4 linked regions of the Arabidopsis thaliana genome follow. The protein of the gene in region 2 purifies or fractionates together with the protein of the main gene of each other region. This does not show direct contact. Each region holds a gene or a part of one and is shown on either strand. Other genes may lie near its edges. The genes, in order: EIF2 BETA, MCM6, PKR2 and AT4G24820.

Evidence for each region.
Region 1: the proteins of MCM6 (region 2) and EIF2 BETA purify together in Arabidopsis thaliana (affinity purification with mass spectrometry, with the first as the bait; one large-scale study listed by BioGRID). This does not show direct contact.
Region 3: the proteins of MCM6 (region 2) and PKR2 fractionate together in Arabidopsis thaliana (co-fractionation; one large-scale study listed by BioGRID). This does not show direct contact.
Region 4: the proteins of MCM6 (region 2) and AT4G24820 purify together in Arabidopsis thaliana (affinity purification with mass spectrometry, with the first as the bait; one large-scale study listed by BioGRID). This does not show direct contact.

The regions. Positions count from the first base shown.
Region 1 is NC_003076.8:7,094,133-7,098,853, reverse strand, and holds EIF2 BETA (eukaryotic translation initiation factor 2 beta subunit), read left to right. Parts: upstream 1-1,708; 5' UTR 1,709-1,842; exon of another isoform or gene 1,843-1,983; intron 1,984-2,184; 5' UTR 2,185-2,192; coding exon 2,193-2,231; intron 2,232-2,358; coding exon 2,359-2,473; intron 2,474-2,564; coding exon 2,565-2,620; intron 2,621-2,722; coding exon 2,723-2,777; intron 2,778-2,871; coding exon 2,872-2,966; intron 2,967-3,056; coding exon 3,057-3,202; intron 3,203-3,319; coding exon 3,320-3,462; intron 3,463-3,553; coding exon 3,554-3,639; intron 3,640-3,788; coding exon 3,789-3,860; 3' UTR 3,861-4,205; downstream 4,206-4,721. Other genes in the region: TSL (Protein kinase superfamily protein), read right to left, coding at 43-132, 390-641; AIP2 (RING/U-box superfamily protein), read left to right, coding at 4,544-4,711. UniProt on the Arabidopsis thaliana protein: Component of the eIF2 complex that functions in the early steps of protein synthesis by forming a ternary complex with GTP and initiator tRNA.
Region 2 is NC_003076.8:18,005,763-18,012,468, reverse strand, and holds MCM6 (minichromosome maintenance (MCM2/3/5) family protein), read left to right. Parts: upstream 1-1,926; coding exon 1,927-2,003; intron 2,004-2,084; coding exon 2,085-2,237; intron 2,238-2,338; coding exon 2,339-2,464; intron 2,465-2,571; coding exon 2,572-2,734; intron 2,735-2,842; coding exon 2,843-3,036; intron 3,037-3,139; coding exon 3,140-3,335; intron 3,336-3,415; coding exon 3,416-3,493; intron 3,494-3,585; coding exon 3,586-3,815; intron 3,816-3,902; coding exon 3,903-4,017; intron 4,018-4,137; coding exon 4,138-4,212; intron 4,213-4,299; coding exon 4,300-4,440; intron 4,441-4,555; coding exon 4,556-4,759; intron 4,760-4,854; coding exon 4,855-5,016; intron 5,017-5,115; coding exon 5,116-5,171; intron 5,172-5,263; coding exon 5,264-5,406; intron 5,407-5,492; coding exon 5,493-5,812; intron 5,813-5,897; coding exon 5,898-6,038; 3' UTR 6,039-6,174; downstream 6,175-6,706. Other genes in the region: BGLU13 (beta glucosidase 13), read right to left, coding at 1-1,323. UniProt on the Arabidopsis thaliana protein: Probable component of the MCM2-7 complex (MCM complex) that may function as a DNA helicase and which is essential to undergo a single round of replication initiation and elongation per cell cycle in eukaryotic cells.
Region 3 is NC_003075.7:15,429,669-15,437,551, forward strand, and holds the start of PKR2 (chromatin remodeling factor), read left to right. Parts: upstream 1-1,859; coding exon 1,860-1,979; intron 1,980-2,045; coding exon 2,046-2,203; intron 2,204-2,215; coding exon of another isoform or gene 2,216-2,285; intron 2,286-2,325; coding exon 2,326-2,499; intron 2,500-2,708; coding exon 2,709-2,923; intron 2,924-3,004; coding exon 3,005-3,100; intron 3,101-3,195; coding exon 3,196-3,332; intron 3,333-3,413; coding exon 3,414-3,572; intron 3,573-3,667; coding exon 3,668-3,775; intron 3,776-3,932; coding exon 3,933-3,983; intron 3,984-4,088; coding exon 4,089-4,176; intron 4,177-4,277; coding exon 4,278-4,423; intron 4,424-4,533; coding exon 4,534-4,631; intron 4,632-4,720; coding exon 4,721-4,859; intron 4,860-5,088; coding exon 5,089-5,258; intron 5,259-5,427; coding exon 5,428-5,494; intron 5,495-5,589; coding exon 5,590-5,703; intron 5,704-5,801; coding exon 5,802-5,911; intron 5,912-6,033; coding exon 6,034-6,115; intron 6,116-6,359; coding exon 6,360-6,554; and 13 more. UniProt on the Arabidopsis thaliana protein: Chromatin remodeling factor that represses the expression of embryonic trait genes upon and after seed germination and thus enables the developmental switch to post-germinative growth.
Region 4 is NC_003075.7:12,788,504-12,794,722, forward strand, and holds AT4G24820 (26S proteasome regulatory subunit Rpn7), read right to left. Parts: upstream 4,220-6,219; 5' UTR 4,097-4,219; coding exon 3,958-4,096; intron 3,860-3,957; coding exon 3,745-3,859; intron 3,402-3,744; coding exon 3,311-3,401; intron 3,233-3,310; coding exon 3,087-3,232; intron 2,997-3,086; coding exon 2,777-2,996; intron 2,641-2,776; coding exon 2,532-2,640; intron 2,433-2,531; coding exon 2,264-2,432; intron 2,143-2,263; coding exon 1,968-2,142; 3' UTR 1,814-1,967; exon of another isoform or gene 1,566-1,813; intron 1,289-1,565; exon of another isoform or gene 1,096-1,288; coding exon of another isoform or gene 982-1,095; exon of another isoform or gene 865-981; coding exon of another isoform or gene 736-864; exon of another isoform or gene 548-735; 3' UTR 527-547; downstream 1-526. Other genes in the region: AT4G24810 (Protein kinase superfamily protein), read right to left, coding at 1-42, 122-169, 311-505, 736-864, 982-1,095; AT4G24830 (arginosuccinate synthase family), read right to left, coding at 4,582-5,134, 5,463-5,551, 5,680-5,865, 5,955-6,029, 6,147-6,219. UniProt on the Arabidopsis thaliana protein: Acts as a regulatory subunit of the 26S proteasome which is involved in the ATP-dependent degradation of ubiquitinated proteins.

The sequences.
Region 1 (4,721 bases), about 11 Mb from region 2:
CGATAAGAGACTAAAAGAAAACTCTTTATGAAAAATCAATACCTCAACATGATCAACAACACTGAAGTTGTTAGATTCTTGAACTTTCTGGCGCTTTTTTGTATTTGCTCGGATTAGGAAATCTCCAGTATTCTGAGACAGTAACAAGGAGAATGAGATCTAGCTAAAAAAGAGACTGTATTTCTTGTTCAAGAAAGAAATATAGATGCATCTGCAATGCCAGGATATGTAGCCAGCATTGCATACAACTTTGATCAATCTTTAGGCACAAACTGATCAATACAAGGAGGATAGGGACATCAACAATTCAATTAGCAACGACCCTTAGACTCACAAGAATCATAGCATAGACATAAACAAAAGAATTTGAAACAAACATCGGAAGCTACCTCGTCGTCTGAATCACTGATAGAGGTTTCGGACAATCCCGGCGGTGTGGAAGTGACGACTTTGACAGCGGCAGAAGCAGATGACCAGAGAGAGACCTGCTGCTGCTGCTGTTGTTGTTGTTGTGGTGGCTTGGCCGAGGAAGGGGTCTTACCAGTCAAGCGGGCCTCAAGCTTGGCGATTTTGTCGGGTAAAGAGTGATCCGACTGATTAGAAGAATTCGAGGAGAAATGCAAAACCATGTCATCCGACATTGCCAAACACTTGCGGACACTTCACTCCCTAATTTCTACACAGATCAGAGTAAATTCGAGAAATTAGGGTTTTTTAACGGAGAATTACGGAATTGGAAGCTAGAATCTGGATGTCGAAGAGAAACCCATCAACAAATTTTCATGCTTTTATGCAAATCCACGTGGAGGAAAGTGAATAAAACGTACAGAGAAAGATAGACAGAGAAAGAGAAGGAGGAATAAGGTTTTTGTTTCGGTGAAAAAGAAAAATCGAGGAACCCTAAGGAATTAGGAGGGAAAGAGAGGTCAACACAAAGTTCTCTTTAGCACTCACTCTGATACATTTTTTGGTTTATCAGATTTTAGCCTAATTATATAATCTGAGGTTTGAGACAAGTTTGAGTTATGGGTGTGTTAATTTGGGAAATTTCCATTTTTTCTTTCTTTTTTTTTCTCCATTTGGTATCATGGATTAGGGTTGACTATAAGTAGGGTTTTCTTTGATCTAAGGCCAGACTCGTGGTTTAAACGCTAAAATCCGATTATGACTATATGAATTTGCGGAAGTAGGCGGTTGCCGTCTCAAGCGTTATTAAACAATTTGAACGATTAATTTAGCGGTTGAAAATTAATGCATTTGCGGAAATTTTGTTACTGAATATCTAACAAACTAAAATACTTAATATATTAAATAATAAAATAATATAATTTAGTAATTTATAGTAAAATAAGATATGCTAGACTATTAATTTTGACACTAAATATATTCTGATTTCTTTCTTTACTAGTTTCATTTATATTTAATAACATTTTTATATAATTTACTATTCACAGAATTTAATAAGAAATAAATCTTAATTTGAAAAAAAAAAAATTGATTTGATAAAATTTCAATTGATTAATTAATTAAGACAAATAAAATAATAAATGAGAATCTCAGTGTCAATTAATAGATAAAATTAAAATGTAACATGCGTTAAGAAAAAGAAAAAAGTAAAAATGTAATATTAAGGTTTAGGCAAAATGAAATATTTACAGAGACCTTTTACTATTGAATTAAAAAAAAAAGTTACAATTCGAGATGGACTATTTTTTTGGAGGAGCAAGGGTTAACTCTTATCTCAGATTAAAACAACCCCTGCGCCGCTTACTCTCTCTCAGATTCCTCCCGAAGCAACCTCGTTTACTCTCTACGCCAATTTCAGCGCTTAGACATCCCTTTGTGAGTTTTCTTCGATTCCTTTTCGAATTCTTCTGGTCGATCTCAGAGTAAATCGTGTTTTTGGAAGAATTGAGTATAAACAGATTGGTAAACCTAGCTGTTCCGTTTCTGATTTGAAGCCTTGTCGTACATTTTATTTGGGTATTTTTTTTATTGGGAATCGAAAAGTTGTTCTGAATCTCGTTATGGTTTTGTTGCGTTCCGAATTACCTCTCTGATTTAGAAACCCTAATTTCGGACTTGCCTATGCTCATCGTTGTTACAGATTATGTTGATTCTAATATGTATATGTTTGGTTTCTGAGGTCTTATTATCATTGTGTGTTTTCGTTTTGTATCTCAGTTGCAATCATGGCTGATGAAATCAATGAGATAAGGGAAGAGCAAGAAGTAAGTTTGTTTTTTTTCTCTGTTTCTTAATGATAGGGCTCAAGTTAGCCATATAGATTTTTTTTTTTGTTTTGTTTGATGAACTCATGATTGAATGGTTTTTATGTTTTGGTTCATCCTTTTACAGCAGCTCGCACCCTTTGATCCTTCCAAGAAGAAAAAGAAGAAGAAGGTTGTGATTCAGGAACCTGTCGAGGACTTAGCAGAGTCTTCACAGACTGAGAAATCTGATTCATTGCCTGGTATGTATGATGAAGAGTCAATGTGATGTGAAACATTTTTTTTGTTTCAATGGTCTTTTGTGTTACTTTGTCTAATTCCTTGTTTTTGCAGTTAATGATGGTCTTGAGAGTTCATTTACTGGAATGAAGAAAAAGAAGAAGAAGCCAGTGAGTATTGTTTTACGTTTTGTGCCTAGTATTTTTTTTATGTCATTAAACTTGTGTGTTTGATGATTCTGTGACTCACATTTGTTCTTGTTTGATATTTAGACTGAATCAAGCTTATTGAACAACGAAAGTGTTGATGCTGGGGAAGATTTGGATGGTACTTTTAATATCCTTTTTTTTTGTTTGCTAATATACCTTTTCTCTTGGCGGGGTTTTTATCCTGTTTGAATCTTACTGAGAATATATTGCAGAGATTGCTAATGACGAGCAAGAGGGGGAAGAAGGAATAGTTCTACAGCAACGTTACCCCTGGGAGGGAAGTGAGAGGGATTACATATATGACGAGGTGACTATATTTTCGATGATTTCTTTTGTTTTAATCCTTCATAAATATCTTGCTCCCTTGTTTTTTTGCTGACGGGAGTTATATATGCAGCTTCTTGGTAGAGTCTTTAACATTCTCCGTGAAAATAATCCGGAGCTTGCTGGAGATAGGCGTCGTACAGTTATGAGGCCTCCTCAAGTTCTTCGTGAGGGGACAAAGAAGACTGTCTTTGTCAACTTCATGGACCTTTGCAAGACGTATGAGCTAACTCTTTATCTTCCTCTTCAAACTTTTTCTGTGTAACCATAAGTAATATTACCATTTAATTTTGATGACTTTTCGATGACATGTCTTATCTGCATATAAAAAATCAGGATGCATCGTCAACCAGATCATGTTATGCAATACTTGCTTGCTGAGTTGGGTACTAGTGGTTCGCTTGATGGGCAGCAAAGGTTGGTTGTTAAGGGAAGGTTTGCACCTAAGAATTTTGAAGGAATTTTGCGGCGATATATCAGTAAGTAACTTTCTTCTTAGTCTCAAAATTTAAGTTGCCATAAAAGTATATCAGTTTGGAGTTGTTAACCTCTTGTTTTATTATTTCTCAGCTGACTACGTCATTTGCCTTGGTTGCAAGAGCCCAGACACCATTCTCTCCAAGGAGAACCGTCTCTTCTTTCTGAGATGTGAAAAGGTATAAGTTAATCTAATTAGTCCTGATCTTGATATGCATTCCTTTGTTTCTGTTTTACAGTTTTACTTTCTGCGCAACAAAGTAATAAAGTATTTTGTGTGTTTGAATTTGCTAATGTGATTAACGAGTGGGCTACATGGTTTTTGCAGTGTGGATCTCAACGATCTGTGGCTCCGATCAAAACAGGGTTTGTTGCTCGTGTTAGTCGCAGGAAGACTTGAGAAATTAGAAGGTGAAGTGACCTTGGTATGGAGTTTGGAGCTATTCTACTGCTTCTGTATGAGTTTATGAGTTGAAGAAATACTTGTCTTGTTTTTTTTATTTTGTTTTGGAATATGATTATGACTTGACTTTTAAAATGGGATAGGATCAAAACCTTTTACTCTGTCAGGTTCATGTGGTCACCTTGAAGGTTGATTTAGTAAATCCATGGACTTCTTTTTTGTGTTAAGATTATTCTTAGTTCAAAATTAATAGACTAATGATATTAACGTCCACAGGCATTGCGTTCAACATCTCAAATTAAAGCGTGGAAGGCTCAGAAAGTCCAATATACACTATGTTTATCTACAGTTACAATCATACTACAAAAAACAAATAATGTATACGGTTTGGTCTAATATAGCCGCATACGATTTAGTATTTACCAACAAAAAATTGGTCTCAAACCAAACCGAACAATTGGTAATTAACAATTGTTCTTTTGGTCTTGAACCGAACCAAACCGAACTGAACTATATTAACCGACCGACTTCGTCCTTTCCTCCTGATCAAGAAAACTCGTCTCCTACAAAAATCCCAGAAGACAAGAGATTGGTTCTTCTTTTGCATCATTCTTACAAAATCCCCAAAATCATTCGAAACCCCTGAGTATTCTCCTTAACTCTAAGAAATAAATTTCTGAATGGATGCATCGTCTTCACCGTCTCCTTCCGAGGAAAGCTTGAAGCTTGAGCTTGATGATCTTCAGAAACAGCTGAACAAAAAGCTGAGATTCGAAGCATCCGTTTGTTCTATTCATAATCTTCTCCGTGATCACTACTCTTCTTCCTCTCCTTCTCTCCGCAAACAGGTTGGTTTTT
Region 2 (6,706 bases):
CTTCAAATGTTGAGCGTAGTAATCGATCCTCTCACTATCTTTAAGGTCGATTTTACCGGTACTAGCTTCATCTCTACCATTCTCTGTTATATACATGACAGGATCCTTGAACTTGTATTTTGCATAGAGAAGGAGATCACGAATTCCTTTTGGATATATCAAAAGCCAATCTGATGCTGCCTTTGGACCGATAGGCACTCCTTCTCTTTCACCTGTGACGCTAGCACAAGGATCAGAGAATAATGTAACGTTTTCGCTTGAGCAAGGAACATCCTTAGCGTAAGAAGATGAGTAATAATTGATGCCAATGAAATCATATGATCCTTTCAACATCTTAGATTGTTTTGCAGTAAATGTAGGTAAGCGACCGTCTTTTACGTTGTTGACCATGTCAACCGGATATTTACCGGTTACAAGCGGCTCCATGAAATAGTCGAATGTGAAGGCCATGGCTCGTGCCGCAGCTAATCTATCTTCAGCTGATTCGGTATAAGGCAAGTTCCAACCCGCGTTCAAAGCGATACCAACTTGACCTTTTTGAGATGCCTTATATTTTTCTCTATATACTTTGACTGCTTCTCCATGAGCAAGAATGAGGTTGTGACCAACAATATAAGGCTCGGTAGCTCCATTTCCCGCGGTGCAATTAGGGTTTGTGAATTTTGAACACCTTCCAGGAGCCATTACACCAGCAACATATCCTTGTTGCACAACTGTTAATGGTTCGTTCAATGTCATCCAATGCTTCACTCGATCTCCAAAATTCTTGAAGCAAATATCCGCATAATCGCGGAAGTCATTCACAATCTCCGCGCCAAAGAATCCTCCGTAAGCATCTTCAAGGCTTTGCGGTGTGTCCCAATGAAAAATGGTGGCGAATGGCTTAATTCCTTTAGACAAAAGCTCATTGATCAAGTTGTTGTAATAGTCAATACCAGCTTGGTTGATACCTCCTTTTAGATTCCCACGTGGCAAGATCCTCGACCACGAGATAGAGAATCTATAGGCACCGAAACCAATTTGATGTAGTAAACCCACATCTTCCTTGTAAAGATGGTAAGAATCACTTGCAATAGATCCATTGGTACCATCTTTTATCTTCTCCGGATATTTTTCAGAGAATGTATCCCAAATACTTGGACCTCTACCATCTTCATGAGCAGCTCCTTCGACTTGGTAAGCTGACGTTGCAGCTCCAAAAATAAAATCTTTTGGAAAATCACTTCTTCTTAATTTAGGTGTTGAAGAGTGTTTCTTGGCTATAACTTCATTAGAAGCCAAGACAATAATAAACACTAGCAAAGAAAAATATTTAGTTCTCATTTTTATGATTGATTGTTGAAACTTGGTTTGTTGTGAAAAGATGAATAGAGCTCAGAATTATATAGGCAAGAGAATTGTTATGGCAATTTGTTATGTTAATCTATAAATAGAGAAGTATAAGATAGAGATAGTATAACAACAAATCTTTTAAGTTTTACTTGTTCATAATTAGTAAACAGAACATTCAAATGATCTTATCAAGTTGTATTTCTAATGAAGAAAAAATAGCAAAACATTCGTGAAGGTTCGTTTTCTTTTTTTTGTTCTATCGATTTTCTTAATAACCAGAATCGATTATCTTTAGAGTTTAGAATAAGCATGGTTGTCTTGATCAAATATATATTTGAAAAGGTCCATTTTAAAGGTCCAAATTATAAGCCCAATATATAAGCCCAAAGTTTAGGCCCAATTCACGTATCGCTATACTTTTTAGCGGGAAAATGTTAGAGGACCCCACCTAAAACTCCCGCCACAACAAGCTCGCCATTTCTTTGCCCATAGTGGAGAAAGGTTTTGTTTTCCGTTCAAACGATTTTAGGGTTTTTGTCGCAAACAGTTTTTGGTAGTGAAGAGGAAAATTTCGAGTGAGGTAGAATTTGAAAAATGGAAGCTTTTGGTGGATTTGTAATGGATGAACAAGCGATTCAAGTCGAGAATGTCTTCCTCGAATTCCTGAAAAGGTTTGCGTTTTTGGGCTTTTTGTTTCCCCCAATTTCTTTCAATTTTGGCTCTAATCAGTTTCGGTTTCAATTTGGTTTCAGTTTTCGATTAGATGCGAACAAGCCGGAGTTGTATTACGAAGCAGAGATTGAAGCGATTCGAGGTGGTGAATCAACAATGATGTACATTGATTTCTCACATGTAATGGGTTTTAATGACGCTCTTCAGAAAGCAATAGCTGATGAATATTTGAGGTTTTGTTTTTTTGTTTCTCTAATTTGCTGATTATTAATCTAAAACCCTAGTTTTGATTTTTGGGGTTTTTTGATTTTTGTGTGTGAAATTTTGGTTTTAGGTTTGAGCCGTATTTGAGGAATGCGTGTAAGAGATTTGTGATTGAAATGAATCCTTCTTTCATTTCTGATGATACTCCAAATAAAGATATCAATGTTTCTTTCTACAATCTTCCTTTCACTAAAAGGTAACACCTTTAAATATCTAATTAATGATTTTGATATTATAGTAGTTGTTATGAATATTTTGGCTTAACTTTAGTGTGTGGTGATTGTGATGATGATGGTTTTGTAGGTTGAGGGAGTTAACGACGGCAGAAATTGGAAAGTTAGTGTCGGTGACAGGTGTGGTTACTCGAACAAGTGAAGTGAGACCTGAGCTTCTATATGGGACTTTCAAGTGTTTAGATTGTGGTAGTGTTATAAAGAATGTTGAACAACAGTTTAAGTATACACAGGTAATTGATTCTTTGATTTTTGGTGTTTTTTTTTATACACTTTGTAGTAGGAAGAAGTAGTAGCTTGTTTTCTTTTGGTTTGTTGAGTGATTTGTGGCCTTGTTGCAGCCTACGATCTGTGTGAGCCCGACTTGTTTGAACAGAGCAAGATGGGCGTTGCTTAGACAAGAAAGTAAGTTTGCGGATTGGCAAAGGGTTAGAATGCAGGAGACTTCAAAAGAGATACCTGCAGGTTCCTTGCCACGGTCTTTGGATGTCATTTTGCGTCATGAGATTGTGGAACAGGCCAGAGCGGGTGACACGTAAGATTTCGTTTTGTGTCAGTTCTCTAAGTTATTTCTTCCATCATTATAATAATAAAGGGTTTGCATTTGATTGTGACTCCTTTTGGGATTGTTCTCGCAGGGTTATTTTTACGGGAACAGTAGTTGTTATACCTGACATATCAGCACTGGCAGCACCTGGAGAGAGAGCAGAATGTCGTCGAGACTCATCACAGCAGAAAAGCTCTACTGCTGGACATGAAGGTGTTCAAGGTCTCAAGGCTCTAGGAGTTAGAGATCTTTCGTATCGGCTTGCCTTTATCGCTAATTCAGTGCAGGTTTGTCAACTTTTTAGTATCTGTCAAGCCATAACTTAAGTGATACCAGTTGATCAATATCAATGTTTTTTTCTTTCTAGATTGCTGATGGTAGTAGGAACACTGACATGAGGAACCGCCAAAATGATTCTAACGAAGATGATCAACAGCAGTTCACGGTGAGGCTTGAAATAAACTACCTATAAGTCTTAAGAGTTAATATACCGCAGCATCCTGGTTTTTCTCTTACATGATTATTTAAACTTTGCAGGCAGAAGAGTTAGATGAAATTCAGCAGATGAGAAATACTCCTGATTACTTCAATAAGTTAGTTGGAAGCATGGCCCCAACCGTTTTTGGTCATCAAGACATCAAACGTGCAGTTCTACTTATGCTTCTAGGCGGTGTGCACAAGACAACTCATGAAGGCATCAACCTTAGAGGAGACATCAATGTTTGTATAGTTGGGGATCCCAGCTGTGCTAAATCCCAATTCCTCAAGTAATGATTCTCATTGAAAATCAAAGCTGTCTGTTTTTTTTTCCTTTTCTGAAATCTGATCATTCAGTTTTGGTTTGTTATTTGCAGGTATACCGCAGGTATTGTACCACGATCTGTGTATACATCTGGGAAGTCCTCTTCTGCAGCTGGGTTGACTGCAACTGTGGCAAAAGAACCGGAAACTGGTGAATTCTGCATTGAGGTAATTTTAGAGTTTTCAAGTTACCTAAACTTTATAACCGCTTTAAAGAAGGATAGCCTTTCTTTGTAAATTTGATTTCTATGCTCTTTTTCTAATTAAGGTTATCTGACTCTTCAACAGGCTGGTGCTTTAATGCTTGCTGACAATGGAATATGTTGCATTGACGAGTTTGACAAGATGGATATCAAAGATCAGGTAAGTCAGCATCATTGCTTGTTACTATACAGACGATTATGTTTCTTAGAGTGTGTTTGATGAAAATTATTGCATTTGGGCACAAAGGTTGCTATTCATGAAGCAATGGAGCAGCAGACGATAAGCATTACAAAAGCTGGTATACAAGCAACCTTGAATGCTAGGACATCAATTCTTGCAGCAGCTAATCCTGTTGGTGGGCGATATGATAAATCTAAACCACTTAAGGTAAGGTGATCCAAGAATTAGACCAAACAGATGCATATTTGTATTCCTTTCTTTGCTTAAGAACTTTCATGGAAGGTTTTATATCTAATTGTGGTTTGATCATGCTCTTTTTCAGTATAACGTTAATCTTCCACCTGCCATTCTTTCGAGGTTTGATCTTGTGTACGTTATGATTGATGACCCTGATGAGGTAACGGATTACCACATTGCCCATCATATTGTGCGAGTTCACCAGAAGCATGAAGCAGCGCTATCTCCTGAATTCACTACCGTACAACTCAAGCGCTACATTGCATATGCCAAAACGTTAAAGCCAAAGGTTGTTGACTAACCCGAAAAAAGTTTTTGATTGCTAAAGGCTCTTTTGCTGGAGATGCTAACATCTTTTCTCTATATTCATCTGTTGTGTTGCAGCTAAGCCCAGAAGCAAGAAAGTTACTTGTCGAGTCTTATGTTGCTCTTCGTAGAGGTGATACAACTCCAGGTACAAGAGTCGCATATCGAATGACAGTTAGGCAGCTAGAGGCACTGATCAGGCTCTCAGAAGCCATTGCTAGGAGTCATTTGGAAATTCTGGTGAGATAATCCTAAAACGTTTTTCTGTTCCTTTCTTTTATTCTACCAGTATCCAGTAGTTGATTTGATTTATCTGGGAACTTGTTATTTTTCTTTCAGGTTAAACCAAGTCATGTTCTTTTAGCTGTCAGACTGCTAAAGACTTCAGTCATCAGGTAACTTCGAACATCTTCAAAAAATATTTTTATCTCCTAAAATTCTCCCAAAATGTTAACCGTAAACAACCATACTTGCTTCTCTTATCCAGTGTTGAGTCAGGCGATATCGATCTTTCTGAGTACCAAGATGCTAATGGTGACAACATGGACGACACAGATGACATTGAAAACCCTGTTGATGGAGAGGAAGATCAACAGAATGGTGCAGCTGAGCCAGCTTCTGCAACTGCAGGTATTTATGCACAGTTTGTGCTCTTCATTTTTTCTCTGCCTCACTTAAGAAAGAATCATAATTAACATCATATGACGTAGCAACAGATAATGGAGCAGCAGCTCAAAAGCTGGTGATTAGCGAGGAAGAATATGATAGAATCACACAGGCTTTAGTCATTCGCCTTAGACAACATGAAGAAACTGTAAACAAAGACAGTAAGCAACAACACTCTTCAATTTTCCATACTTTTCATTTTCTCTCCTCAACTATTGAAAACAATTTTTTTCCTTTAGGTTCTGAATTGCCTGGAATTAGACAAAAGGAACTGATTCGATGGTTCATCGATCAACAGAATGAGAAAAAGAAATATAGTTCGCAAGAGCAAGTAAAACTCGATATCAAGAAACTCAGAGCCATCATTGAGGTAAAAATCCAAAACAATCATAGAAGTTAAGAATAAAATTATTTCAAATGATGTTTCTATCTAACACAAGCTATGCATTGCACAGAGTTTGGTATGTAAAGAAGGTCATCTTATAGTGTTAGCTAATGAGCAAGAAGAAGCCGCAGAAGCAGAGGAAACGAAGAAAAAATCTTCACAAAGAGACGAGAGGATCTTAGCTGTTGCTCCAAACTATGTTATTGAGTGATGTGATTAAGTGTAAGACATTTGTAGAACTCATAAGTAGAAGCCTTAAATCTTTCATCATTGTGAACTAATTTTGTTGGATTATAATTTTCTGTAAACTTCATCGAAACCCAAAAAGGAAAAAAAATGATATTCCCAAATCACTAAACTCTTTAATGTGTATCATACACAGTGTATGTGATCTATGGATATAATCTTGAAGTTTCGTTTGTGGTGTTTGAAGGCATCATCTTCTGCATAGTAAACATCTAATACGCGTCCGAAATTGATGAACCGGTTAAGCATAAATGCGGTAATCTTCAAGCTGCCAATTGGCTAGATATTATGAAAGATGTCTTTTTTTTTTTTTGTCTAAATGACAGATGTCTAAGATTCAATAAAAACAAGAAATAAAGTCTCCATTTTAGCCCAAATCATTTATCATTTTTAGAGGTATTGTTTTGAGAAAGTTTTTAAAGTGGTATTGAGAAATGGACATTTTTTAACAATTCCCCTGTGATTTATTATAAGAAAATACTACGTTATGTTTGATTAATTAAATAGCCTTCTCCTTCTACCAAAAAATAATAATAAATAAATAGCCTTCTCCATACTAATTCAACATATTTTTAATATTAAGACAAAAAGTCATATATGTATGAGAATCAAACACATAAACATTTTATTGTA
Region 3 (7,883 bases), on a different chromosome or scaffold from region 2:
TCTAAAAATGGTCCAACAAAACCACCGAGAAACCAAAATTTAAATCAATGTTTAGGCTCTTCTACAATTGATTTCAGTAATTTTCTAAAGAGTAAGAACCCCTTTGGATACGTTTCTGTATTATTTATTTTTCGTAAGGTTTGGTTATTTTAGGATGGCTCTACAAAAAAAATACAATAAACATCTAAAATAACTTGTATCAATTAAAAATAAATATATGCAAATTTCATGCTGCACAGTGGACATCCAGTGGAAGTATTCGAGAATGATTTAACTGTGTTGTGTTGTTTGGTCAGATCGCTGCTAATTGCTATTCTCAAGTCTCAACCTTCTTTTACTGGTACGCACTCAAAGCCCATTATCACCGAAAACATTTCGGTGGATATTTTAATAATTCTCTAATTGATAAGCGTGATTTTATGTCAACTTACAAGGCTTTTCAAAGCCCAAAAAGGGCCACAGGCCCAAGCATAAAGAGAAACATTCACACCATATCTATTTTAAAGATTAATAAAAATGAACAAAACTGATTTTAATTGTAAAATAACAAAAATTTGCTTTCATTGAGAGTTGAACTCAAGACCTCCCGCTTACTAAACGGGTGCTCTAACCAACTGAGCTATGAAAGCTTTTGCTGTTACAATTAATTAAAATCTATATAATACTTTGTAACAAAACTTTTTTTAAGTGTTAGTTAATTTAAAAAGCGTTAATCAATTGAAATGTGGACCTCTTAAAAAAACTAACAAATACAAAAATGCACCATTTGTCCATAGAGTATTGGAAACTAAGTAAACCATCTTCATACTATTGGTCACAACCAAATCCCTTTCCAATTTGTAACGGACGACTAATTTTGGTTTTGTGGTCAAGACTCAAGATAATGCTAATTTTTAAACAAAATTACAGTGCATGAATCTAATCTTTATTTCCTTCTTCTTTTATAACCTTTTTCATACTTACCATTTGCATGCCTCTCTTTAATATTTGTTTTATTCTATAGAAACAAATCACATTATATTGCATTGAATAGATTTTTATTTAAGTTTCATTTATTTGTTTTCAGACACATATCTTTAGATACTAAAGATATAACTAAATATTTAAATCTTATTTCTGGTCAACCCATTCAGACAAAGAATCTTAAATAAAAAAAACTTTAAATTAATTTCTTCCCTAAATATGATATATATTTTTTAATTATGTTACATAAATGTATATATACAATATAAATTTATAGTTTTTTTTTGGTAAGCATATAAATTTATAGTTTGACCAGTGTCAAGGAAACTTAATAAATCAAACAACTTTTTATACTAATAAAATAAAATAACTTTTTGTTTTAATGATATTTAAATATTTAATTATTCAATATATGGTTATTTTGATAATTTTATTTTAAATCATCATCGAATTTCTTGTTGAAATTTCAAAATTGCCGCGTAATCTTAACGGTTTTAGGTACAATTTCATTCACAAAAACCACTAGGACTCACTTCTAAAAATTTCTCACAGCCACAACTACATCTGCATCCCCTTCTGGTTACAAATTAATTCACCTTTACATTGAAATTGACAAAAAAAGGTAGTGTTATCTCCATAAAACAAAATTAAAAGGAAATAAAGAATAATGACCACTCCCTCTCTATATATATAAACAGACGTTTATCATATCCTTAAGAATCACCCCTCTTGCGTTTTAGCTCCCTTGCATTTTCTTCATCTTGTACGCTCCTCCTTGGTCTTAGATTTTCTGAGATATTTCTCTTTTCACTCTTTCTTGTTACGATTTTATCTAAAAATTTAATGAATCATATTTACTGACCAAACACATTGTTGTGGTTTTTTCATGCAGAGAAATGGCTAATCTGTTGCAAAGGCTTCGTAGACGAACCGGGCCAAAGCCAGATTATATTGAAGACAAGTTGGATGAATACATTCGTGAAGAACAAGTTGAAGAAACAGGCGGAAGTAACCAGGTATGTCTTTGTCTTGTTGTGAAATTATAGATCTGCAGTGACTTTTAATTATTTGATCCATTTCAGGATTGTCCTCTTGGCGAGATTGAAAAGATTTTGGACCGTGAATGGCGTCCTACTGCATCTAACAATCCGAATTCTTCTGACAACGGGACACCAACCCTAGTTGTCGTGAAACAATATCTTGTGAAGTGGAAGGGGTTATCGTACTTGCACTGCTCTTGGTAAATTCCCAGCAATATGCGATATCGTGTTGTATTTAATTAAACATGTCGATTATTATGTTTTTGTTGCTTCTCTTGTCTGGTTATCTTATCATCACTTGATTATTAATGTCAATTCTTAGGGTGCCCGAGCAGGAGTTCGAGAAGGCTTACAAGTCCCATCCTCATTTAAAACTAAAATTAAGGGTGACCAGGTTTAACGCTGCTATGGACGTATTCATCGCTGAGAACGGAGCTCATGAGTTTATCGCCATTCGTCCTGAATGGAAAACTGTTGACCGGATTATTGCTTGCCGGTTAAGTGATTCAAGTCTTGTCCTTTGTTTTTATGTCCTTAACTTGATAGACCTCGTTGTGACAATTATGTTTTTTTTTTTTTTTTTTTCCTTTGTGATTATTTATTCATGCGTTTATATTTCTTTCTCTATCTTCTGTGTAGAAAAGTGTGACACTTAATGGATTTCGTTTTGACAATTATGGTTTTTTTGTTTGTGATATGATGTAGGGAAGGAGATGATGGGGAGGAGTATCTGGTGAAGTACAAAGAACTTTCTTACAGAAATAGTTACTGGGAATCTGAATCTGACATCTCAGATTTCCAGAATGAAATCCAAAGGTTTAAGGATATAAACTCTAGCTCTCGTAGAGATAAATATGTCGAAAATGAGAGAAATCGAGAGGAATTCAAACAGTTTGATCTTACTCCTGAATTTCTTACAGGTATTTTATTAGACTACTTGAACAATTTGTATACAGTTTCTGTATAATGTTATTGATTTACTTACCTTATATGTTTTTAAGGCACATTGCATACATACCAGCTCGAAGGGCTGAATTTCCTAAGGTATTCATGGTCCAAGAAAACCAATGTAATCCTTGCGGATGAAATGGGACTAGGTACGTCTTCAAAAATCCATTTCTTTTTTGGGGTTATTCATAGGCTTTGCTTTTATCATTTGTGTAAAATAAGATTGGTTTTGTGGTTGCTGCAGGCAAAACTATTCAGAGCATTGCCTTCTTGGCCTCTTTGTTCGAGGAAAACTTATCTCCTCATCTAGTTGTTGCTCCTCTCTCAACCATCCGTAACTGGGAGAGGGAATTTGCCACCTGGGCACCACATATGAATGTGGTATGTATCATGTTTCGTATATATATGTCACATATACGGTATTAGTTATTTATTAATGTTTTCATCGTATGATATATGCAGGTTATGTACACTGGGGATTCGGAAGCACGTGATGTTATATGGGAACATGAGTTCTACTTCTCTGAAGGGCGTAAAAGTAAGTTTGATGTCTTGCTCACGACGTATGAGATGGTTCACCCAGGGATATCAGTTCTGAGTCCAATCAAGTGGACGTGCATGGTATTTCTGTATTAATTATCTGAATGATACTATATACTTTGTATGTCTTTCTTTTAGATCTCATATTTTGCTTAGAATATCATTCTCTTGGTTAGATTATTGATGAAGGCCATCGGTTGAAAAATCAGAAGTCAAAGCTGTACTCTTCATTGAGTCAGTTTACAAGTAAGCATATCGTTCTGTTGACCGGAACACCACTTCAGGTTCGTCGTTAGTCGATTTTTGGTTCTTCGACTTTCCCAAGGTTCATTCAATCCTACATTAAAGTTTACCTAATTAGTTATGATCTCTGAAATAGTACTATAATTATTATGGTATCAATTCTTTTGTATCACTAATACTTATTTGGTGTTTTTTCAGAACAACTTGAATGAACTTTTCGCTCTGATGCATTTTCTTGATGCGGACAAGGTTAGCCAAAAGATAACGCATATAAAATAAGTTTAGTTTATTCTCTAAAATAGTCATTATAAGCATACAAGCTTGCTTTAATTATTTTATTTTCCATGCTTGCAGTTTGGGAGTTTGGAGAAGTTTCAAGATATAAATAAAGAGGAGCAGATTTCAAGACTCCACCAAATGTTGGCTCCGCATCTGCTCAGAAGTATTAACCAACAAATCTTATTAAGAACATTTCGTTTGAAGTCTCGCACCAAGGGATAACTATAACCATGGTGATTAATCTTGCTTTTATTGTTATTGCAGGGTTAAAGAAAGACGTGCTCAAGGATAAGGTGCCCCCAAAGAAGGAGCTCATTTTGCGTGTTGATATGAGCAGCCAGCAAAAAGAAGTGTACAAAGCTGTTATTACCAATAATTATCAAGTCTTGACAAAGAAACGAGATGCTAAAGTAAGTTTTGTGGATCTCTTGTGCTTATGCAGATGTATATATATTGTCTTGGTTTAGGAACCTTTTAGACTGTACTTGGTAGGATAATTCGGCTGGTTAAACTGTTTCAGATATCTAACGTGCTAATGAAATTACGCCAAGTTTGCTCTCATCCGTATCTGTTACCAGACTTTGAGCCAAGATTTGAAGACGCAAATGAAGCTTTTACGTAACATTTGATCACTAATCTTGACGTATTGATTCCTTTTTAGTATTTTGTGCTGACTTTTGCTTGACCTTTTCTGAATTGTTCTAAAGAAAACTATTGGAAGCTTCCGGAAAGTTGCAACTGTTAGACAAAATGATGGTCAAACTCAAAGAGCAGGGGCACAGAGTGCTAATCTATACCCAATTCCAACACACCCTTTACCTTTTGGAAGACTACTTCACTTTCAAGGTAACCTAATCTGCTATATCTGTTTGTCGACCTATTGATTTGTTCAGTTGGTGTTGTCGCTCTGCAAATGACTTGCGATATAATCTTTTCCTTCCACTTAAAAGTTACTTTTTAATATATCTTGAGACGCAAGGAACAGTAACTTTCTTTTTATAATTTGCTTATATGCAATTAAGGAAAAACTATTGTATGATATTGAGCCGTAACAAATTTATTTTTATTTTGTCAGAATTGGAATTATGAACGGATTGATGGAAAGATCAGTGGACCTGAGAGGCAAGTAAGAATAGATCGGTTTAATGCAGAAAACTCGAACCGGTTCTGTTTTTTGCTCAGTACAAGAGCTGGTGGAATAGGGATAAACCTTGCAACAGCTGATACAGTCATCATTTATGACAGGTTTGAGTTCCAATATCTGTTTAATGAAATGATAAAGTGCTTGTTGGAAGTTTCTTTCCAGAATAACAGAGTGTTTGGATCTTCTAAGTTAATAGCGGAAAGATATTGTAGAGGCATTTAAGATGGTTGTGATGAATTTATTGACATGATTTTTTCACTGGTGTTGTAGTGATTGGAATCCTCATGCTGATCTCCAGGCTATGGCTAGAGTTCATCGGCTTGGCCAAACAAATAAGGTTCTCTTTTCATGGCGTCAATGTGGAATCATCCACTTGCTATTTCATTCTTTTTCTAGCTATGTCACTGATTAAGCCTATATTTTCTTATTTAGGTAATGATCTACAGACTGATTCACAAAGGTACTGTAGAAGAACGGATGATGGAGATAACCAAGAACAAGATGCTTCTAGAGCATCTCGTCGTGGGAAAACAACATCTTTGTCAGGTATATATATATATATGTATTCCTTGTTCGATTTGTTATTGATTCTTATTGCTACAAGGTTTAATTAATTACTGTTTTCTATCCCTGACTGTAATTAGGACGAGTTAGATGACATCATCAAATATGGTTCCAAGGAACTTTTCTCTGAAGAGAATGATGAAGCAGGGAGGTCTGGAAAAATCCATTACGATGATGCTGCTATCGAACAGTAATATATTCTTCTTTCTTTCTTTGTTTTTACTTTCCTAGTGATTTTACTTTAATAGTTCAAAGCCACCATACAATTGCATGGAATGTTCATGATTTGTAGCCACACCTTTTCTTCTGCAGGTTGCTAGATCGTAATCATGTAGATGCTGTGGAGGTCTCACTGGATGATGAGGAGGAAACTGATTTTTTAAAGAATTTCAAGGTTTACTTCTTTCTCTTTCTCTTTCTAGATGAGTGGTTATTGATCAGATGATCCAATATTTGTTAAGGTCCAGAGAATTGTTTAGAGAGTAATAATTCAATGGATATGCTACAAGAATCATCATGTGCATGTGCATGCATATATATACACCCTTTTTTCCTGCAATATTAAGTTATACACATATATTTAGTGGCATTAATTCCAAATATAATTTCTCTTTTTGATGTTATTTCCTGTATATTAGGTGGCTAGTTTTGAGTATGTAGATGATGAAAATGAGGCTGCAGCATTAGAGGAGGCACAAGCTATAGAAAACAATTCTTCAGTAAGAAATGCTGATAGAACAAGTCACTGGAAAGATTTGCTGAAAGACAAATATGAAGTGCAACAAGCTGAGGAGCTCAGTGCTCTTGGAAAGAGGAAGAGAAACGGCAAGCAGGTACGTATACTCTTCTTGATCCCACCTCTCCAGAATCGTTTTATGTCCTTTAGCACAAGTGTTCTTATTCCTGCTTTTGTTAATATTACTAGGTGATGTATGCTGAAGATGATCTTGATGGTTTAGAAGAAATCTCTGATGAGGAGGACGAATATTGTCTTGATGATTTAAAAGTGACCTCTGATGAGGAGGAGGAAGCAGATGAACCCGAAGCAGCTCGACAGAGAAAGCCGAGGACGGTTACAAGGCCTTACAGAAAAAGGGCTCGCGGTACTATACTTTTCCAAATATTGCATTGAAGATGACATCTTGTTGGTTTCAGAGGTTTACAAGTTAAGTAACTTTGAAAATCTATTTTGCTGTAAGATAATTCGGAGGAAATACCTTTGATGGAAGGCGAAGGGAGATATCTCATGGTGCTGGGATTTAACGAGACTGAGAGGGATATATTTTTACGTACGTTTAAGAGGTATATCTTCTTTCTAATAATGTTGTCTAAATTGTGGTTTGGCGTCTCTCAAAGCATCATAGTATATCATAAGTGTCTCAAAACAACTTTTGTAGGTATGGAGCTGGAAACTTTGATTGGAAGGAGTTTGTTAATCCCTTATACATGAAGACCTATGACGAGATAAATAAGTATTGACGACTTAAAGCCATTTATGCTCTTATTTTCAGCTGCTTTACAAAAACCAACAGTTGTTCATTGACACTTGTTAAATTTGTTGTTTCTCAGGTATGGAATCTTATTTTTGAAACACATTGCCGAAAACCCTACCGATAATTCTACAAATTTTAAAGGTAATTTATCACTTTATTGATTATATGTTTGTTGGTATTCTTAGATATATCCAATTGCTTATTTCTGTTATCATATTTTTAAGTTATTACGGCAATGGTCTATGCAGATGGAGTTCCCAAAGAAGGGATAAGCAGTGACGAGCTACTAGTGAGCATGACTTTTATGATGCTAGTAAAGGAGAAGGTAAGCCTACCATTTTCCAGTGTCTATGGAATTTAAACAGTTACTTATTAGCACTAGTAACCGAACCAAAACTTGAGAAGATTCATTGCATTCTTTCTTAAAGTTTTTGCATGTGGTTTATATATCTGAAAGTTTCTCGTTTGATAAAATTTGGTTTGGTCCTCTCTTGTTTGTTTGAGCTCACTTCTCAATGTTTGATGTGACAGTGTCAATTTTTGGACAACCATCCGACAGCACCTGTTTTCTCTAACTACGTCATCAGTAAGTACAATTTGAGAAATGGAGCATTTTCTAAGGAAGAACATGATAGGATACTGATTCCTGCTGTTTCCAAGTAAGAACCC
Region 4 (6,219 bases), on a different chromosome or scaffold from region 2:
GATATCAACCATCATCAACTTCTCAACGCCAGGATGTTGGACCTAAACATGTCGTAGCACATTCAGAAACCAATTAAAAGTAGACTAGGAAGATTTCAGTTTTCTCCTCATTATTCCTCACCTTTACAACAACATCCCTCTTGTCACCCTTTACTCTTGCTCGGTGTACCTAGATAGAAGCAAAAAGAAAGTGAAATACAGTATATATTGAGACTTTCTTAACCAAACTATAATCTTATCTGATTTTATAAGCATGCACGGTAATACTGTACAAAGGTTCTGAAACTATGAGTGATGAAGAATGTAGTACCTGAGCAATAGAAGCAGAGCCAAGAGGCTTCTCATCAAATGTTTCAAACACTTGTTCGATGCTTTTACCTAACTCTTTCTCCAGGACAACTCGAACGGCATCAAATGGTGTGGCAGGAGCTTGATCACACAAAGTGACGAGTTTTCTCACCCAAGCAGCTGGAGCCAAGTCAGGTTTCCCTAGAATTTGTGCAATCTATTGAACAAAATGAAAAAAAGTAAAAAAAAAAAAAAAAAACTCATCATAAGCAACTGTGAACAATCAAAGAGTAAAATGTACAACCTTTATTCTCATCAAAGAAACAAAAAAAAAACTCATACTTTTTGTTACAACAAGATTTAAGATGAGTAATTCATAACAATCCCAAACGTGGAAGTCCCCTCTGGTAATCACAAACCTCAACAACAGTCTCAACACACCATTACCTTAAGGAAGAAACCACCAAGGTCAGAGCACATAGAATAAACTTTATGAGCAGCAAGTTCATGTTGTCTCTCCCACATCTCCTCGTGCTTATTAACATCCTTGACGAAGTTCATACGAAGTTGAAATACCTAAAAGCCCAGAACAAGACACAGATTGAAAGAAAATTGCAGAAAATCATAAGAAAAATGTATTACAAAACGAAACATGAAGAAGAAGAAAGGAGTACCCATCAATCAAAGAGAAACCTTGTATCCGGTGTAGATATCAGTGGCACGAGCCCAGAACTGAAACGATCGTTGCCAAGGCCGGAATCCATCAGAGAGCTTCTCCTGAATCTCTTTGAAATCGATCGCATGCATTTTCGAAGTTTTGAGGAAGAGTGATAAGGATGAGAGGATAAAGTTAAGAATTGTTTATGTATGGCGTCAGAGTGGAGTTTGCTGCTCTCTACGAATCCATTCGAGAGTGTTAATTACTGTTTCGTTAAATTGTAAAGGAAACAAAATCCGTTTGTCTTATGTCACACTCACTGTGAGTCACTGGTTATAATTAGGCAGGCAATAGAAGATAAGGTACTAATCTCCTCAAATCTTAAAGTAGTTTACAATGATGGTCTTGTTACTAACCCCAGACCATATCAAAAAATTTAGGAAAAAAGGAACTTACTAAACAGTAAGAAACAAATTGTAAATCCTATAAGTGTGATGGTGAAGAATCTCACCTAATTCACTAAACAGACGTCCGTGGAAGAAGAATCTGCAAAATACCAAGTTACCAACTACTGTGTATGTATCTCTCACAAGTTCAACCAAGGACTGTCCTTTAGATGTATCTAATTTGTGTTCAATTCTAACCATTCAGATTATGAAGTGTACTAATGCATTTTTCTTGGTATATCTATATGGTCAACTAATACACCTTGTGAAACAAAAGCTTTATTTTGTAAGAGGTATGGTGGTCGTTTTCTCTTAGATACTAGATAGATGCGATGAAAACAACAGATTCAAAAGCCATATGCGAGGAAGAATAAAATGAACATTGGAGATTAAACTTGCTCTTTGTTCTTGGGAAATTCACCACTGACAAACCAACTAGAGTTGATGAAAGAAACTACAGCCATTCATCTCAAAATCCAAAGTTCATATCGTTTCTCAGACCTTAAGATTCTACCGTTCGGAGTTTCCAAGTTGCAAAGCTTGACGAAAGAGTGAAACAGAAACATGTAGCATGCTCACAGATCGATCACACGAGACAGCTTCTGGATTCGGTTTAGCAAGAAATCCCCTTGCTTGATTGTTGCCTGGTAAAGTGCATTCTTTGCATCAGGACGGTTTGTCTCCAAAACACCTGCAACCTTGTCTATCTTACAGTGAAGCTTCCCAGCAGCAATGAAGCGCGACAACTCCCTGGATAAAAAAAAAAATACATTTCAAGTCAGATTTAAGTTTGTATTATCGTTTTTTTGTATGCTTCTAAAGAGAGGTGGCAAACATAAATATACAAAAGAGCGTTCATTATTGTGCTTACTGGTCTATGAAATCGACAGAAACGCCAAAGGCCTTTGCCATTGCTTCAACTGTCACACTTTTGTAAGATTCCAAAAACTGAGAGTACACCACTGTTCTGACTTCCCTCATGTAGAACCGGAAATGCGGGTACAAGTAACGGTCATACTTTATCTGCACCGCCATTCCAGCTGAGAACATAAGCCGACAATGAAGTTAGTAAACATACAGACAAAAGCCAAGCAACATGCATTCGGATGTATGACCTCTGGTCCTTGTAATGAACTTACCAAATGCTGAGAAAAACGCCTTGTACTGGCACTCATACAAGGAGTTCAGAAACTCAGAAAGGAATGGAATCTTCCCAAGCACGGTTAAGATCTCAGGTGCATCAACGACCTGTCAAATTAGTAGCACTTGATAAGAATTTCAACAAATTACATGGATATACATCATTTTAATAAGTCGACATACTAAAAAGTTTTTATCTAAGTTTAGACAACTCTAAGTGGAAGACTGAGCCATTGAGAAATACCTTTTGCTTAAGGGAAACTCTGTCCAAAGTTATGATGCTTGTCAGGACGGTGTAGAATATGAAGGTCTCATATGGAAAAATTTCATATGTTGTGAAGGTTGATATAGAATCCAGGAATAAGCTGGCAGCCTTCTTAAAATTTCTGGTGGACATGCAGTACAAACCTTCATAGACCTTTAGCCGGTTCTTCCTCTCCCAGTCACCACCCTCTTCAAACAATCTGGCAAGGGAAAACGGAAAGTGTTAATTCAAGGATTTCAGTTGCACTATCCATGAAGAGTAGTCAAAATACAGCCAAATTGACATTTACTTTTTTGCTTTGTCAATGCTCTTTGATACCAGATCAAAGTCCATATAGAAAAAAGCAAGTTGTAACGTATAAAACACCACGTCCATTTTTTGTCCAACAGCAACAGTTTTCCCTTCAGTGAGTTTTAGCTGCTCCAAAGCTTTCTCCTAGGATTACAAAACAAAAATTTAATGGCCACGATCCACGGAAGTTACCATAACTATCAACTTTGATATGCCACATACCTTATCACTAATCCTGATGAAATACAGAGCCTTAGCAAGATGAGCTTCACGAACTTCACTTTCACCCAAATTTTCTTCTGCATCTGCAATCCTGAAAAAAGTGAAAGAAAAGAATATGTAAGAGAACTTTGGCTGATAACATACTGGTTCAGAAGTTTCTACAAAGTTAAAGCGGAGGCCAAGATGGACTCAGAAACCAATGGTTAGGTAATGGTTATCTCCCTAAGAATACTAAGACATCATGCTACATCAGCTACCACAGGAACATGGAGATTCCCAAAATTCATAGTGGACTTTTGCAAACACAATTCTGAATCCAATTTGAGACCCAGAATGCTACAGTCCCCCTACATCAATCTAACCCAAAATACTAATACGAGAATTCGAATTTCAAAGCACTGCCAAATAAAAGTGAGAAACTGAAGGAAACTTACTTCTCGTCGAGCTTCTTAAGCTCCTCTTCATTAGCGGCCCGCATAGACTCTAACAAGCTTTGATCCAAATCCAGCACCGAAGAGGCAATTAGGGTTTCGTACAAAGGAGCCATACCTAAAATAAATAAAAACACCAACGAAACATCAGGAACATAAAATCTCGAAGAAATATTAAGCTAATTCTCACTGATTAGAGAAAAGGAGCTGCTTAACCATGGGATCTGATGAAATCCAAAACCTCAGACTTGAGCTGGACTTTCTCGATGTCTGGAACATCTGGATGAGTGAGGAGGAAGAGCTTGTTGGCTAGAATAAGGTGAGGCTGCTGAGATCCTTCCGCTCCACCGTCCATCGCAAATCGGAAAGCTTGAATCGGATCTGAGAGAGAGAGAGCAAATATATAAAAAGAGGTTTGCTTGAGCAAGGAGGAAGAGCTTACAAAGATTTCAGGTCCGATGGTTTTTTTTTTTTGTGTATGTAAAAAAAAAATAAGTTTCGCATTACCTTAAACACCCTTATCTTTTTTTACATTTAAATTTGGAATTTTTACCATAAGAAAAAAAAGTAAAAAACATTTACATTTAAATTCTCGTTATAAATAATTTAAACTTAAGATCGTTGAATTCAAGTAATGGATATTTATATTTTATATCTCTTTCCAATGGAAATCATAAAAGAAAGAGGCACTCATTATTAAATTTCTCAAGTTTTTCCAAAGTGAAGAAAGATGATAGAATTATTTCGAAAGAAGCTGAAGCTATGACGACGCATCACAATAAGGGATGTGTTCTAATGTCAGGCTCTCAATTCCAAGTAAGACATGAATGAAAACCATTTCTAGCTAATTTTCTTAAGCATAGCTCTAATTTTCATTGGAAGCCCGTAAAGACGAATAAACCCGGCTGCATCCGCTTGGTTGTAGATCTCACTCCCTTCAAACGAAGATATGTCCTGTCTATACAGACTGTTAGGACTCTGACGCCCTGTAACCGACACAGATCCTTTGTACAGCTTCAGTGTCACAGATCCCGTGGTTGTCTCGGTTATCTTCTCCATGAAAGCGTCCATGGACTCCCTAAGCGGATCAAACCATCTTCCTGCGTAGACCATCTCTGCATATTTCAGTGCTAATGTGTCTTTTACCTGAATACTCTCTCTGTCTAGAGTGAGGGATTCTAGTTCCTGTACAGCTGCAAAGAGGATAGTGCCTCCAGGAGTTTCATACACACCTCGTGATTTCATCCCAACCAGACGGTTCTCAACCATGTCAATCCGCCCAATCCCGTGCTTTCCTCCTATTGTGTTTAGCTCGGCCAGAAGTGTGGCTGGACTCAGAGCCTTCCCGTTCAGCGCCACTGGAAGTCCAGATTCTATCCCGATCTCGATGTATCTGTATAAGTGTGTAAGTATCAAAAGTTAGGATGCAAATTGCAAAATCCTACTCTTGGTATCTAAATTTGATAGCATAGCAGCTAAACCAGTTAACTCCTTTGAGAGACTTTAATAACGAGAACTCTCTATTCTAGATCTGATTCCCAATCCCAAACCATAAACAAATCCTGAACACACCAACTCATTCTGCCTAAACCTCAGCTCTGTAGCTAACTGACTCAACTTTAGTTTTCAAACTATCAACACAGCTATAATCCACTACAAACCACCTTGGGGTAATTACAGTGCATAGTTAAACACAAGGGCTCAAAGAAATTCCAACTTACTCAGGCTGATCAGGAGCATCTTCAGGATCCACACTCATCATGTACATATCTTTCTTTGGCTCGTTTGCTGGATCTTCCAATAGATCACCCTTTCAACAAAACACATAAGTTTGATATCAGAGCATGAGACACATTATTAGGAACTGAGCAATGTGACAAACTGGATCAATTTGTATCCAAAAGAAAAATGCGAACCAACACTTGTCTTTTACTTTACCTCATGACTAAGGTGCCACAGGTTTCTGTCCCGGCTGTAAATGGACTTCTTTGTCACTGGGACGGGAACATTATGCTTCTTTGCATACTCAATAGCATCTTCTCGGCCTTGGATTTCCCATTCTCTCCATGGTGCCACAACTTTAAGTTCAGGGTTTAATGAAAAGAAGGTGAGCTCAAACCGAACCTGGTCAATCAATCAGTACAAAAAAGTAATGTAAGAATCAATGCGTGTTTTCCAATGTGACGCATTAGCAAGACATTCCAAGTACTTGCCTGGTCATTTCCTTTTCCAGTACACCCATGTGCAACGGCATCAGCTCCAACCTCTGCTGCTACATCAACCATGGCCTAATCATTTAGAAAATGTATTAGTGACAATATGTAATCCAAAAGATATATCCAGATATTAGAAATAGTGGGGGTAGTCCTCACAAGTCAATCATATAAAACCATTCGAAATGTTACCTTAGCAATGACAGGTCGAGCCATGGAGGTACCAAGCAAGTATTTTCGTTCATAGATGGCACCAGCTCTAAGA